Arabidopsis thaliana: one gene and its partner. The protein of the gene in region 2 interacts with the protein of the main gene of each other region in a pairwise test. Each region holds a gene or a part of one and is shown on either strand. Other genes may lie near its edges.

Region 1 (6,062 bases), on a different chromosome or scaffold from region 2:
GGGTGTGTTTTTTATATTTTAGTCGTCTATAAATGCAAAATTTTCAATAGAAAATAACATATTTTTTTATTTTAATGTTTTACATCCTTCTCTTTTGGTTAGGACAGGAATATGATCAAGTTTCTATCCCCATTGGTCCCTAGTTCGAATATGTGTGTAAGAAAAAAGTGCTTAAATTTTCTTCGGTTACAAGTATGGAATTCAGAAATACGTACAGTATATACATTTTTAAAATTATATATTTCCAACGAAAACTATACAATATACAACTTGTTATCAAATAAACTTGCTGACTAAAATACATTGTAAACGATACCGAGTTTGTAAATTGTAAGAACGTCTCCAACTAGAAAATTCCCATTCAAGTCTATTATTGTTACCATTTTTTAGTAATTATTAGGTAGATAAGATTATTTCTTTAGGCGTACTCATGCATCAAGAAAAAAAAGAGATCAAATATTATAAAATTGAAATGTACTTTTGATATTCTATGTTGTACAGCGCCGTTGTCTTTAAGAAAATCATTGTCTTACTCTTACATTATTCATGTAACAAAGTTAAGACGTACGCAATAGATTCATAAAATTTAGTCTAAAACTTCAGTATAGTTGGACGTATAAAAATCAAAATCAAAACTTTTTAAAAAATTTGGAAGTACATGTCGCGAAAGACTAATGATGATGATACATAACTTAAGAAAAAGCCTTCTGAAGAAACAGAAATGTAAACAAAAATATAAAAACAAGTTATCATGATGATGGTTGAGTATCATTCAACCTTTTCTTGCGCTGCTCGATTATTTCAACACCTGATCTCTTCCTTGACTGCGAAATCTGCAGATACCATTTCACAATACACCAAATTAACATCAACTTACAAACACTAAGAGACCCTTTCATTGCTATGCTCTTACAGACCTATAGAAACTATATAAAAAAAAAAAAAATGGTAAATGTAAATGGGTACATACCTTCATGGCATCGTAGAGCTTCCTCTTCTTACGGGACATCAACACTTTGGGCATATCAGCGTCCTCTTGAGCTATTTGCATAGCATCCGGAACTGATTCTTCACCCTCACCTTCAGCCAACACAGGCGCTACAACATCCTTACTTCCATTTATTTCCATCTTCAGTTCCTCATGGTATTGCTTCTCCTGCGCCGCCATCTACATAAAATAACCCACAAAGTTAACAACTTAATCAACGCATACAAAAGTTTGACAGGCTTGAATTGCTTATATATCAGCAAAGTCAAACCTTCTTCTTGTTCTTTGCAGCTTCGGCTTCCTCCGCACGACTCATAACACCAGCGTACAATAAATTTTGAGGATCTTCAAGATCCTCTTTCCCAACACCTGGCAATGGAAGCACTTCGTTTCTTGCTGCTGCCTGTAGTCTTTTGATGGTTTCGGCATAATCAGGAACGTATCCTTCTGCTTCATTGTCCACAAATGGTGACAAGTGTGGCGGTGGAATTCTGCTTGTAGAAAAGCACACAATACATATACAAACAGCTGAGTAAAACAAAACATGGTAGTGAAAAAAGAAATAAGCAAAGTCTTCGAGTGTGTTACCTTCCGACCAAGTACTTTTCAGTTGGCAAGATTATGCGAGCATTCACACAGTCATAGATCCACTGTGGTTGCACATATACCCTAGAAAGGTACAAATGGCCAGCGCTTGGCTTATCGATGATCTACAGAAGTATAATGTATGTTCTTGAGACTATCTATCTAGACACAATCGTAATATTAATAATCAAGCTAAATAGCTTACATGATGTGTAATACTCTCATCATCCTCCTTGAAAGGTGCACCTTCTCCTTCCCAAGACACCATCCCACCAAAAGCAGTAATCACCAATTGCAGGGACTCTCTTGGAACCTACACAAGTATACAAAATTATTATACAATAGACAGGCCCCAGTCATGAAACAATTTAATGATCTTCTAGGTCACTGTGAGGAGACACTCAAGAACACAGATCTTCCAAATATCAAAACATGGAATGCAATTTACAATCATTGACACAACTTTGGTTAGGACTACACAGTAGTTCTAGGTTCCCTCACCACTAAGTACGTATAAGAATCATTTTTTTTTTAAATGCCGTTACTTACAAATGGTTTGTCTTTAAGTAAGAGTCTTTGAACATTATAGACATGTCAGAGATTTAGGCTATAGAAAAATTACCATTTTATTTGGTAAATTACTGAATCAGTTTAGTAGCAAATGAGTATGTTTTGTCCATAACAGTTAAAATTTGCCAATGATTTACTATTTTAGAACAAAATTCAGTGATAAGAAGTGGCTCAGAAAGAATGAATCAAAAAGATACCTCACGGCTCAAGAAAAACTTCAGATCCTTGAAGAGTGACTTGCACACTCTTGTTTCTTCATCCTCTTCAACCTCTTTATTGTTATCTGCAACCAGATGCATCAATGCTCCAGGCTCACTTGAAGGCAGCTGGTGCTGAAGCTGTGCAAGTCTAAGTTCAGACTCTTCACGGTCATTTGACTGTGAGCTAAATGAAGCATCAACTTTGGGTTCCACCGCCATGCCTCTGGAGCTGGCATCTATGTATCTAGACAGTGCATAGAGATCTGCAACATTGAAGACATAAACAAATATATATTAATCAGAGTAATAGGTGACACGTTCTAATGGTTACATATGAACTCCCATATGAAAGATATCTCTTGAGGAAAATAATTGCTTCTTGGAGGAGGACAACGTACCTGCAGCCAAAGCCTCCAACCGAGAGTCAAGGATTGGCGGGTATTTAACATTCAGAGAATGGTAAAGCTTGAAGTTAATAAAGGCAAGAAGAGTCTGCATCAAAAGGTGAATGAAAATTTGTCAGCAAAAGTCCAAACATTAAATTATTAAGGAAAAGGGGGAATGAATAGATATTAGAAGTTCTCACCTCGTAAAATTCCAAGAAGGTAAGCAGGACACCAAAGTCAACATCATTTGTAAAAACTTGTTGGATTGCATGAGGGGTCAACCAAGTGATCTTTTGACCTTCTATTTCAGCCTATCAAGATAATATTACCAAAGTTTCATTAAAGAGGAAGTAATCTACTAATCCCATTATAAGCTCTCAAGATAAAGTAAAACAATACCTGATAGTAAATACCCTTGACAGACACAAACACTTTACGTAACGCATGAGAACGTGAAATGTAAGCTTGCCATTCATGGGTCAATCTGATTCACAAAAGAAGCACAGAGTCAGATTAAAAATATGAAACTAAAAGAAGCCGTCAATAAGTCAAGACACAAGGGTCCAAGAGAAAGTATAAGATTCTGACCTTCGACAGTTGTGGACTCGCTTAACTTCAAGATTTTCCCTGTCTGATGCAGGTAACACCGCAAAAAGATGAACCATAGTGAGACAGTCATCCAAGTCTCGCAGTGCATCAATAAATGTTGGATACCTAAACATTAATAACATAAATAGAAATGAGAGTTAACAGTCTAAAACTCATGGATGTTCAAACACAACTGTATAATAAATTCAAGTGTGTCAAGCAAACCTCTCACGGATCAATCTATCAAGCTTGTAAGTAGGTTGGCGGGTGAGCAGAAGGCGTGCAAGCTCCTCGTTTTTCTTGGCCTTGGCTTTTTTGACCTTCTTTTGGTATGTTTTGATTTCCCTAAACTTCTCAAGAAGAGGCTCGTGCATGAGGAAAGCAATGTCCTTGACATGGTAGTAAGTGTGATGGTTTCCCTTAATCTTCTTCTTTGGTTCTCGGGGAAATATACCTTTGACAATACATAGTCTCCTGAAATACATAATCGGCAGGTACAATAATAACAAATTAGTCACCTACTGATAACCAGAGAATTTCTAAGTAAAAACCTAGCTAGGAACATAACACAATCTCGATATCAATTCTAAGATAAATTGACAAAACACGAAGCATCTGAAAAAAACCTAGTGCACACATATGCTTGTCCGAACAATAACTCGAAGAAAAACAGTGAAAAGTTGAAGGATAAAGAAGAAAGAGAGTGAACCTGAATAGATTCAAGTTAACTTGAAGATGTTTAAGAGCTTGCGACCTGGTCATATACCTAGCCGCATTTCCTTCCTTCTTTTTCCCCTACAAATGACAAACATAACCAAATTCATCTCAGAAACAAGAAAGAACCAGCTCCAAAGTTTTTCGAGCAAAGGGAAAGACGAAAATAGATTACAACAGTTGTTGAACAACGAATATTGGGGAGAATAGAGCTTCAATCAAAGAGAAACACTCACCGTTGGTCTGTAATGCTTCGGCATGGTGAAAACGCCACCAGAGAAGGAACGAGAGACGCGGAGAGGAAAAAGAGAGACAGAGAATTAGGGTTTTAGCCAAAACGATTTGTTAAAAGTCGGGGTACAAGAGGACGATATAATGGGCTTCTTATGACCTATTTGACTTCTTCTCAGGTTTATTATACCATGGGCTTTTAAGGCCCAATATGCTCATTGTTGTTTGTTCTTCTGGGTTTTTTATTAGGATCATGGTTCGTGAAATCTTTTCCAGTTTACGTGAACATTGATGTATGTATTCATCCATATCTTTTTTACGTAAAATAAGAGTAAATAGTCATTAAAGAAAACATATTGTAACCATCTAGACTCAAATTCATAAACTCTAAATTTGATTAACATACTACTGCTTCCAAATTTTTCTAATTGTCAACATTAAAAAACGATACACAAGTGCATAATGGAAACATATATGTCGTCACTGTTGTTGATCGGTAGGAGGATCGGCGGGGGCTGGTGATTCACCGTCGTTTGGGATCCAGAATGTGAGAACCGTAGAAGCAGCAACGAACATGGCTCTACGTGGTGCCCATTTCAGACACGACACTACTCCTATGTTGTTCTCCCACCTCGCCACCTGCTTTTTACACAAAATCCCCACTAAAATTTAAATACTGTGAAAGCATAACGCAAAAATAGTATCTACAACTTTATAAATTATTCATCACTTTTAAGTGAATCAGTGTCCTAGTGGTGTTGATTATTCTGCACTTTACCTCAGATGGGTTCTCGATGTTCCACGCATGTAAGGTTCCATCACCTGAACCTGTATCCGAAAAAGAAAACTAAGCTGATTAAATTTGAATATTGTGTAGATGAGTCATGATAAAAGATCATCTAGGAACGCGTATTACCTGACAGAACATACTTGCCATCTGGTGTGAAGGTGGCCTCTATGGGTGTACCCTGTGAAGGCTCCAAACTAAAACCACATTTCTGCAAAATAACATACCGTCTTTTACCAACTTGAAACCTAACGTTCTGTCTTCTTCAGGTGAAAGATAGAGAACGTGATTACCTTCTCTCCACGATATGCATCAAGAACGTAGATATTGTTATTTGTAGTCGTTAGGAGCATGGATTTCCCATCGTTGCTGAATTTTATATCGTTAACCTCAGCAGTATCCCCACCCACCAGAAATGTGTCAAAGGGACCCTACATAAGAGATCAATTGGGTTTAGAAGTTAGAACTAACAAGAGCAGTCATGCGTAAGGCTGTGTGAATCATTGTAAGAAGCTAACCTTGTCATAACACCTGGAATCAAATAATTTAACAGCACCTCCTTCCATTGCAATTGCAAACACAAGGCCTTGTTGGTCATACGCAACTGCAGGTCTACCACGTAGATGTAGAATTCCCTATTGACTAAAAGGGTAAGCATAGATCATGAAACCATATAAATTCACAGAGAGAGTATTAAGGTAAAGAGCCTAAATATTCTCAATGTTTCGTGGTTCCAGCATCTTCATCAAGTTTAACTTTCAAGGTGATATATCACGAGGTTTTTGCTAACAAAAAGAAAAAGGCACTTTTCTCATTAAAACTCTAGCATATTAAGACTTATTCCATCTAGCCTTCTCAGAGTGTAAAACTATAGAAACCAACCTGGCAGGCATTTACACGAAGATCCCAGAGTCTAACACTTCGGTCGAGAGAACCAGACATGAAGCTATCATTTATAGGAGACATACAAAGTGATACAACCCTGAAACAGAAGAACATTTTCCATCATCAAT
Region 2 (8,831 bases):
TGATGTGTTGAGAGAATCTATACGAACCGGAGGAGCTCCGAATAACTCAGACGCTTACACCATCAATGGTCAACCTGGCGATCTCTATAAATGCTCTTCTCAAGGTTTTACTCTTTTTCTTCAAATTAATTTTAATTTTATCAACTGTCCAAAAACTTGTCCCATATATTTTACCCTGTTTTCTCCCAACTGTCATAACTGACTTTGGTATCTTTTAGTCAAAATAAAACACATCAGCCCAAAAGACTCAAATAAGTATATTAACTAGACTTTTTTATAATCTTTTGGTTACAGATACGACAGTAGTACCAATAAATGTTGGTGAGACTATACTACTACGAGTAATAAACTCAGCATTAAACCAACCGTTATTCTTCACGGTGGCTAATCACAAACTCACGGTGGTCGGAGCTGACGCGTCATACCTAAAACCCTTCACCACTAACGTGATAGTTCTTGGCCCGGGACAAACCACAGATGTCCTCATAACCGGTGACCAACCACCAAATCGCTACTACATGGCCGCAAGAGCTTACCAAAGCGCCCAAAACGCACCGTTTGGAAACACAACCACAACAGCAATCCTTCAATACAAATCCGCCCCTTGTTGCGGTGTAGGCGGCGGAAGTGGAACCAAGAAGGGTAATTCCTTCAAACCGATCATGCCTATCCTCCCTGCCTACAACGACACAAACACCGTCACACGTTTCAGCCAAAGCTTCCGGTCACTTAGACGAGCTGAGGTTCCGACAGAAATCGACGAGAATCTCTTCGTAACCATCGGACTCGGTCTCAACAACTGTCCTAAGAACTTCAGATCAAGAAGATGTCAAGGTCCTAACGGCACACGTTTCACTGCATCGATGAACAACGTTTCATTTGCTCTTCCAAGTAACTACTCACTCCTTCAAGCTCACCACCATGGGATCCCCGGAGTCTTCACAACCGATTTTCCGGCGAAGCCTCCGGTGAAATTTGATTACACTGGTAACAACATAAGCCGATCTCTCTACCAACCTGATAGAGGGACTAAGCTATACAAACTCAAGTATGGATCAAGGGTTCAGATTGTTCTTCAAGACACAGGTATAGTAACTCCCGAAAACCATCCCATTCATCTACACGGCTACGATTTCTACATTATCGCCGAGGGTTTCGGTAACTTCAATCCCAAGAAAGATACCGCGAAATTCAATCTTGAAGACCCGCCTCTCAGAAATACTGTCGGTGTACCTGTTAATGGTTGGGCCGTCATCAGATTCATCGCAGACAACCCTGGTAAGCTAAACTATTAGTATAAAAATACTACTAGTTATCATTCATTACAAGTGTTACTTATTTTTATCCAAATTTCTTCGCTTTTCAGTTTAGCTATAAAATTTACATGATTCGTTAATTTATTATATATATATCGAGACTAGTCCCTAAACTAAATACGTGTAAAAATGATTGAAAACAGGGGTCTGGATAATGCATTGTCATCTAGATGCACACATATCGTGGGGACTAGCCATGGCTTTTTTGGTTGAGAATGGAAATGGAGTTTTGCAGACAATAGAACAGCCTCCTCATGATTTGCCCGTTTGTTAGGAGTTCAAGAACTTTGTAACATAAAACCACATTATAGTTTTTCATGTTCTTCTATTCAATTGTTTTTTGTTGGTTATAGACGTAAACCGGGTCATACTCCTGAGTTGGCCCGGACCCTTCAGATTAAGTTTTCTCGATTATTGATGTATTCTTTTGACATTATAGTACCAAATCAAGTGCTAAGAGCCTAAGCATACGTATCATGAAAGTTTATTTTTTTCGTTTTTCTTTATGCTTAATTGACCCATTACTTCGATTTCTTTTTTTTTGTTAAAAGGTTTCATTCACTCGATTTGTGTATGACTAAGAGCATGAATTTGATATGTTAGAATTAGAATGAATGGTTGTTGAGCTAAATTCCTACTTATTTCCATAATCAGCTTAGAACTTTTGCGATCATAATAAACAACATAATTTGTTGGCGTAATATTTGCTGAGTCAATATTGAATGTTGAAGTTATAAAGAAAGAAACTTATCCTAATTCCATTTTGTTTTAAAACGCATTGCTATGAATTGATGAGTATTATTCTTTTACGTAACATTATTGAATTTGAACTTGAGAAGATGATAACGAAATTAATTGAAAAAGAATAAGTGAATATGACATCAAGAAAAAGTGGCCTGAAATTCCAAATTAGTTGAGCAGAAAAGTTTGGGGCAAAGTGATTTCCGACGCGGATTAATCATAACATCGACATTACTAGAAGAAACAAAAGTTGTCATGACTTTGTTATATTTTTGAGTACTCAGAGGGCTAATTTTATAACAAATGTAACAAATGATAATAATAATATAATTCTTACACATGCATGTTGCCACTAATCTACCGAAATATTAGAGTAGACAAGAAATTAACGTGTAATAATTTGTAAGAACTCCGATTGTCATATTTGATTTAATCCATACAAAAAGGTGAAAATCCAAACTAAATCTTACCGTAGAAAATAAAACTTAGGTCGCGAGTGTGAGCTTAGCTATAAACACGCAAAATATATAAAAGAATAATTGATCTTTTACATGATAGATATTCATAAATTTTTAAGGCATTTGCAAACCAATTAAATACTAAAATAAATAGCAAACTAAACTCATTTGTCATCTTAAAACCTAACATATATATTTTAAAATTCACTAACCAGATAATATCTATTATACAAATTTTAATAATTGTTAATTTATATTGGCGAAAATCATGATATATAACTATTATCAGACACTTTAGAATTGGATCAACCAAGAAGAATAAAAAAGTTTTAATCACAACCAAAAAGTCTATTTGTCGTTTTCACTTTTCACCATTCATCAAACACCACCACAAAGGTTTTAAATTTTTTCTTTTATCGTCTTCACGAAAGGCCCATTAGTATATAGGTCCATTATCTAAAACCCTAAATCTCTTGTTACGCATTCCCATGCCTTGTTCAATAAAAAATTATTCTCAGGCCCATTAGAGAGTTACGACTTCAACCTAAAACCCTAAATCTCTTGTTACGCATCCCCTTGCCTTCTTAAAACAAATTTCTTCTCAGGCCAAAACTCGCCTCTGGAAGCTCCGATGACGAAGAGGAGCAAAGGAGCTAACGAAGATAAGCTGATAGAAACCAAAAGCAAAAACGTTTCTGGAAAATCTCAGAAACAGAAGAAACCAGTAGAAGCAGAAAGCTTAAAAGAGGAAGACCTTCTACAAGCATCCGGAACTGATTCTGATTACGACGGAGATGTATTCTTCTTGCTCCTCTTCTCTTTTGTAACATCTTTATTCTGCATTTGATTTATTCTGGTTTTTTTTTTTTGGGTGATTTTTAGAGTTTGCCTGGTTCTTTGAATTCCGACGATTTCGACTCCGATTTTTCCGATTCAGAGGATGATGGAACACATGAAGGAACAGAAGATGGAGATGTAGAATTTTCCGATGACGACGACGTGCTTGGTACTTTTCTTACTCTGCTTTTCGTCTAAATTAGCTCAAATCTTAAATTTTTAGTGTTTATGCTTTTGAATTGAAGAAGCTAATTATAGTGTGTTAGAAAATACTTGCGGGAGTTTATAATGGGGGAATAAAGTTTCTAGCTTTAACATGGGAAAGTAAATTCAAGTAAGAGAGATTAACTATGTTAGGATATGTTGGTGCAGAGCATGATGGGTCAATTGATAACGAGGATGATGATGGAAGTGAACATGTAGGTAGTGACAATAATGAGGAACATGGGAGTGATGAAGATTCTGAGCGAGGTGAAGCGGTTGAAGAGAGCGATTCCTCAGAAGATGAGGTTTGATGCTTTTCTCTATCTCATATTGGTCTTGAATCTATCTTTCTCCATTTCCAGATGAAGTTATAGATATTTTTGTATCTTTAATCTGTAGGTTCCATCTAGAAATACAGTTGGGAATGTTCCCTTAAAGTGGTATGAAGATGAGAAACATATTGGTTATGACCTCACTGGGAAGAAGATTACTAAGAAAGAAAAACAAGATAAACTCGACTCTTTTCTTGCAACTATAGATGACTCTAAGACTTGGTCAGTATGAAGACTTTTCTGTTTGTTGGTATGTGGTTAGTTGGTGTCATAATGCTGATGAAAGTTTTTGGGGATTTAGGCGCAAAATTTATGATGAATATAATGACGAGGACGTTGAGCTGACTAAAGAGGAGAGCAAGATCGTTCAGAGAATACTCAAAGGGGAAGCTCCACATGCGGACTTTGATCCATATGCAGTACGTATCTGTTTTATGTGTAGCCGTTTTCTACTAATGTTATGCAAATCTCTTCAATTTGTGACCTTTTGATTGATTCTCTTGGGACCAGCCTTATGTTGAGTGGTTCAAACATGATGATGCAATACATCCACTCTCAAGTGCACCAGAGCCCAAGCGAAGATTCATCCCTTCAAAATGGGAGGCCAAAAAGGTTGTTAAGATTGTTAGAGCAATACGTAAGGGGTGGATCAAGTTTGATAAGCCTGAAGAAGAGCCCAATGTATACCTTTTATGGGGTGATGATTCGACATCTGATCAAAAGAGCAAGCATTTAACTTATATTCCTCCACCCAAGCTTAAATTGCCAGGTGAAAACTTTTCGCTGACTTTCTGTTGTTTCTCTTCCTCTCTTGGGAATTCCGTTTTCAAACTTTTAATTTGTACTATTTGGCTTTCCAGGACACGATGAATCATACAATCCTTCTTTGGAATATATTCCAACAGAGGAGGAGAAAGCCTCATATGAGTTGATGTTTGAGGAAGATCGTCCAAAATTCATTCCTACAAGGTATGTAACAGTTTCGCTTATTCTACTCTAATGTAGTTTCTTTGGTATTTGTCCGCTGAGCGTTTCAGTAAATATATCTGCGCATAGGTTTACATCTTTGAGAAGCATCCCTGCGTATGAGAATGCACTGAAGGAGTCTTTTGAGCGTTGTTTGGATCTATACCTATGTCCAAGAGTTCGAAAGAAGAGAGTGAGTACTTATCATCTCAGTTTTTGGTTTCTTCTTTGTTTTTCCCGTATTTTTTCTTACATTATGTTTCTTTTCTCCAGATAAACATCGACCCTGAATCTTTGAAGCCTAAGCTACCTAGTAGGAAGGATCTTAGACCTTATCCTAACTCCTGTTATCTTGAATATAAAGGCCATACAGGGGCTGTTACTTCAATATCCACTGATAGTTCTGGCGAGTGGATAGCCTCAGGTATTTCATTATTTTTTTTTTTTTTCAATGAGGTCTCTTTTGTTTTCAAGATGCTAATCTTGTATTCTTTTTTCCTTCAAAGGTTCAACTGATGGATCTGTCCGTATGTGGGAAGTGGAGACTGGTAGATGCCTTAAGGTCTGGCAGTTTGACGAAGCTATCATGTGTGTGGCTTGGAATCCTCTTTCCAGGCTTCCAGTTTTAGCCGTTGCCATGTGAGTGAGGATCTTGTGAATATGCTTTTGAATTTATTATAATTGTCTGTTGTGAAACCTTCTCATCTCACATTGCAGGGGACGAGATTTGTTTTTTCTGAACACTGAACTTGGGACTGATGAGGAACAGGAAATTACTAAAGAGAGGCTTCACTCAGGAAACATCCCAGAACCAGACGCATCTGGTAAGTGGCTTGGAATAACTGCCATCATCTCGTATGTAATTGTGATGAAATTCCAAATGATTAAATCTTTTTGGTTGGTATGTTTTGCACGACTTCATAGTTGCAGCAATTGTAACCTGGCTACCTGATGAGTTATATGGAGGGATTAAGATAAGACATTTTAAGGTACACTTTTGCAAAAGATTCTCCTTTTAACAGTTATTACATAAGGAAAATCTTAAACTGGTTTGTTTACTTTCAGAGCATATCGTCTATTGACTGGCATCGTAAAGGAGACTATCTCTCAACAGTGATGGCATCCGGGGAAACACGGGGAGTGGTATTGCACCAACTGTCAAAACAGAAAACACAAAGGCTCCCATTTAAGATTCGTGGACTTCCAGTCTGTACACTTTTTCATCCCAGCCTTTCTTACTTCTTCGTTGCGACAAGAAAGGACGTGCGTGTTTACAATCTTTTGAAGCCAGGCGAGGCCACCAAAAAGCTTGAGACAGGATTGAGAGAAATCTCATCAATGGCGATTCATCCTGGTGGTGATAATCTGATAGTAGGAAGCAAAGAAGGGAAGATGTGTTGGTTTGACATGGATCTATCTTCGAAACCATACAAGACTCTCAAGAATCATCCTAAAGACATTACAAATGTGGCAGTTCATCGATCATATCCGTTATTTGCTTCGTGCTCGGAGGATTCAACAGCTTATGTTTTCCATGGAATGGTGTATAATGATCTGAACCAGAATCCTCTGATTGTGCCATTGGAGATTCTAAGAGGTCATTCTTCAAAAGGAGGTCAGTTTTTACAGTGTATTTGATTCTTACAAGAATACACTATCGCATATTAACTTGTAAGATCGTTTATATTAATGTGTTTTGATTATTTTTTATGACTGCAGGAGTCTTGGACTGCAAGTTTCATCCGAGACAACCATGGCTATTCACTGCAGGCGCTGACTCTATTATCAAACTCTATTGCCACTAGATTGGTCGCAAACCATATTTTGACAATTTTCATCTCTTTTCTTCTTTGTTGTATTCACCACCTTTACTCAAATATTGTATCGTACAATTTTGTTATACTGGATTTATTATTGAGATTTCTAACTTGTAGCACTTCCAAAATGGTAAAGTCCAAAATCTTATTGTATCGATTTATTTGGCAGCGTTGGTTAAGTTGTGGCAAGTCCTTAAACCCAAATGTTGATTTGATAGTTTTTTAACGTTCACTCACAAGCGCCACGTCATCACCGAAATATCTGAAATATCTAATAAAGGCTTCTTCTTTCACAAATCCCAAACCTTTTTTTTTCTCTGCTAACGAAAAAAGCCATCTTCTTTGCTACTACTAATCTACTATTACACTGAATCGTTTGGGTTCTTCTTCTTCTTCAGCTGCTACTTTGTTCGAGTGATTGCTGACATGCCGTCAGCGTCGGAGATTGTTGACAGGTTTGTTTGTCCGTTTTTTTTGTTTTTGTTTTCCCGCTTGTGTATGTGTGCTAATTGTTCATTGTTAAAGATTTTGTTTTTACAGGATTGTTGTTGTTTTTGAGTGGTATCAAGTTCCTTAAAGTAACTTCTTTTGTTTGTTTAGTAGTTGAAAGCTAGAAGGTTTTCACTTTAGGGTTTTTGGGGTTTTTCGTAGACAGAAATTTGTTAATTTTGGGCACAATTTGTCTCTTTTGGATTACGTTCTGTGCGATTTGTGGCTTCGAGTTCGTGTGGGGTTAAGAGACTTGGAAATTAGAGGATCTTTAGCTGGAATAAACGTTAAATGTGGTACCTTTCCTGAGTTTGCTCTGTTCTAATTGTGGTCGTGATGGGGTTTCTTTTTATTCGCTGTGATGCTGCAGATTGTGAAAAATTCTTGTAGCTACTTCGGTGTTGGTAGATTCTGTGATGCTTAAAAATTGTTTCTTTGAAGGTGCTTTGATCCCAAGTATAGTTGAACATGTTGCTTTAAATCTTGTTAAGAGAAAAAATGGGACTTGCTTCTGTGCCCAATAGTTCACGAGCATGTTGCTAATCTTGCTTCTATGCCCAGGAAACGGAAGTCTCGTGGAACACGAGATGTAGCTGAGATTCTAAGGAAATGGAGAGAGTACAATGAGCAGACCGAGGCAGATTCTTGCATCGATGGTGGTGGTTCAAAACCAATCCGAAAGGCTCCTCCAAAACGTTCGAGGAAGGGTTGTATGAAAGGTAAAGGTGGACCTGAAAATGGGATTTGTGACTATACAGGAGTTAGACAGAGGACATGGGGTAAATGGGTTGCTGAGATCCGTGAGCCAGGCCGAGGTGCTAAGTTATGGCTCGGTACTTTCTCTAGTTCATATGAAGCTGCATTGGCTTATGATGAGGCTTCCAAAGCTATTTACGGTCAGTCTGCCCGACTCAATCTTCCACTGCTGCCACTGTGTCAGGCTCGGTTACTGCATTTTCTGATGAATCTGAAGTTTGTGCACGTGAGGATACAAATGCAAGATCTGGTTTTGGTCAGGTCAGACTAGAGGATTGTATTGATGAATATGTTCTCCTAGATAGTTCTAGTGTATTGTTAATCGTAGTTGACTATTGTGAGGTCTTAAGTTGTAGATTGAAAATGAGATAGCTCATATGGAGCTTTATTGAAATGCAAGAAAGTAAACAAAGGAAGATCTTTAGATTGTCACCAAGAGTGGTCTGAAACTCTCATAACACTCAATCCTCCTCCTCCTCATCACCACCACTACAAAATATTATATTCTCTATCTCTCAATCTATGAGGAGATGTATTCTATCAAGCATTTGAAATGATAAGAAACTGGCGATCATCCTCTACGTCACCATCACTCCAAAATTATCCTCTTTCTAGGTTTAAGTTTTGTAATGATCGCCTTTATTTGTTGAGATCTCTAACTTCTCGCATTTCCAAAATGTTAAGTCCAATAACTGCATTGGTTAAGTTGGGGCGTTACTAGTCGGCTTAAATCCAAATATGGATTTGATTCCATATGTATGTGACAGTTTCTTAACGTTCATATTACAATGAATGATGGATCCTTGACTAGACAAAGAGAAAATGGATTGTCACTTCGTAGGAAAAATAGAAATTCTCCACGAAGGCTGGTCTCCTTTATTTAACGACAAATTCACTCATAGTCTCATTCACAAT

Evidence for each region. The genes of interacting proteins can lie anywhere in the genome.
Region 1: the proteins of AT2G40360 (region 2) and AT5G14520 interact in a two-hybrid assay, tested with the Arabidopsis thaliana proteins (one study listed by BioGRID).

What each region holds. Positions count from the first base shown.
Region 1 is NC_003076.8:4,680,040-4,686,101, forward strand, and holds AT5G14520 (pescadillo-like protein), read right to left. Parts: upstream 4,434-6,062; 5' UTR 4,292-4,433; coding exon 4,268-4,291; intron 4,113-4,267; coding exon 4,027-4,112; intron 3,792-4,026; coding exon 3,543-3,791; intron 3,444-3,542; coding exon 3,318-3,443; intron 3,214-3,317; coding exon 3,129-3,213; intron 3,041-3,128; coding exon 2,930-3,040; intron 2,836-2,929; coding exon 2,742-2,835; intron 2,607-2,741; coding exon 2,341-2,606; intron 1,887-2,340; coding exon 1,779-1,886; intron 1,699-1,778; coding exon 1,577-1,698; intron 1,480-1,576; coding exon 1,260-1,479; intron 1,169-1,259; coding exon 971-1,168; intron 834-970; coding exon 750-833; 3' UTR 501-749; downstream 1-500. Other genes in the region: AT5G14530 (Transducin/WD40 repeat-like superfamily protein), read right to left, coding at 4,743-4,901, 5,041-5,090, 5,179-5,260, 5,343-5,480, 5,568-5,684, 5,932-6,031. UniProt on the Arabidopsis thaliana protein: Required for maturation of ribosomal RNAs and formation of the large ribosomal subunit. Plays an essential role in cell growth and survival through its regulation of ribosome biogenesis and mitotic progression.
Region 2 is NC_003071.7:16,850,951-16,859,781, reverse strand, and holds AT2G40360 (Transducin/WD40 repeat-like superfamily protein), read left to right. Parts: upstream 1-3,010; 5' UTR 3,011-3,146; coding exon 3,147-3,311; intron 3,312-3,397; coding exon 3,398-3,521; intron 3,522-3,724; coding exon 3,725-3,861; intron 3,862-3,955; coding exon 3,956-4,110; intron 4,111-4,189; coding exon 4,190-4,307; intron 4,308-4,398; coding exon 4,399-4,657; intron 4,658-4,748; coding exon 4,749-4,857; intron 4,858-4,944; coding exon 4,945-5,047; intron 5,048-5,127; coding exon 5,128-5,278; intron 5,279-5,360; coding exon 5,361-5,493; intron 5,494-5,571; coding exon 5,572-5,678; intron 5,679-5,778; coding exon 5,779-5,843; intron 5,844-5,919; coding exon 5,920-6,469; intron 6,470-6,573; coding exon 6,574-6,659; 3' UTR 6,660-6,902; downstream 6,903-8,831. Other genes in the region: LAC5 (laccase 5), read left to right, coding at 1-104, 295-1,278, 1,460-1,590; AT2G40350 (Integrase-type DNA-binding superfamily protein), read left to right, coding at 7,098-7,126, 7,722-8,187. UniProt on the Arabidopsis thaliana protein: Required for maturation of ribosomal RNAs and formation of the large ribosomal subunit. Plays an essential role in cell growth and survival through its regulation of ribosome biogenesis and mitotic progression.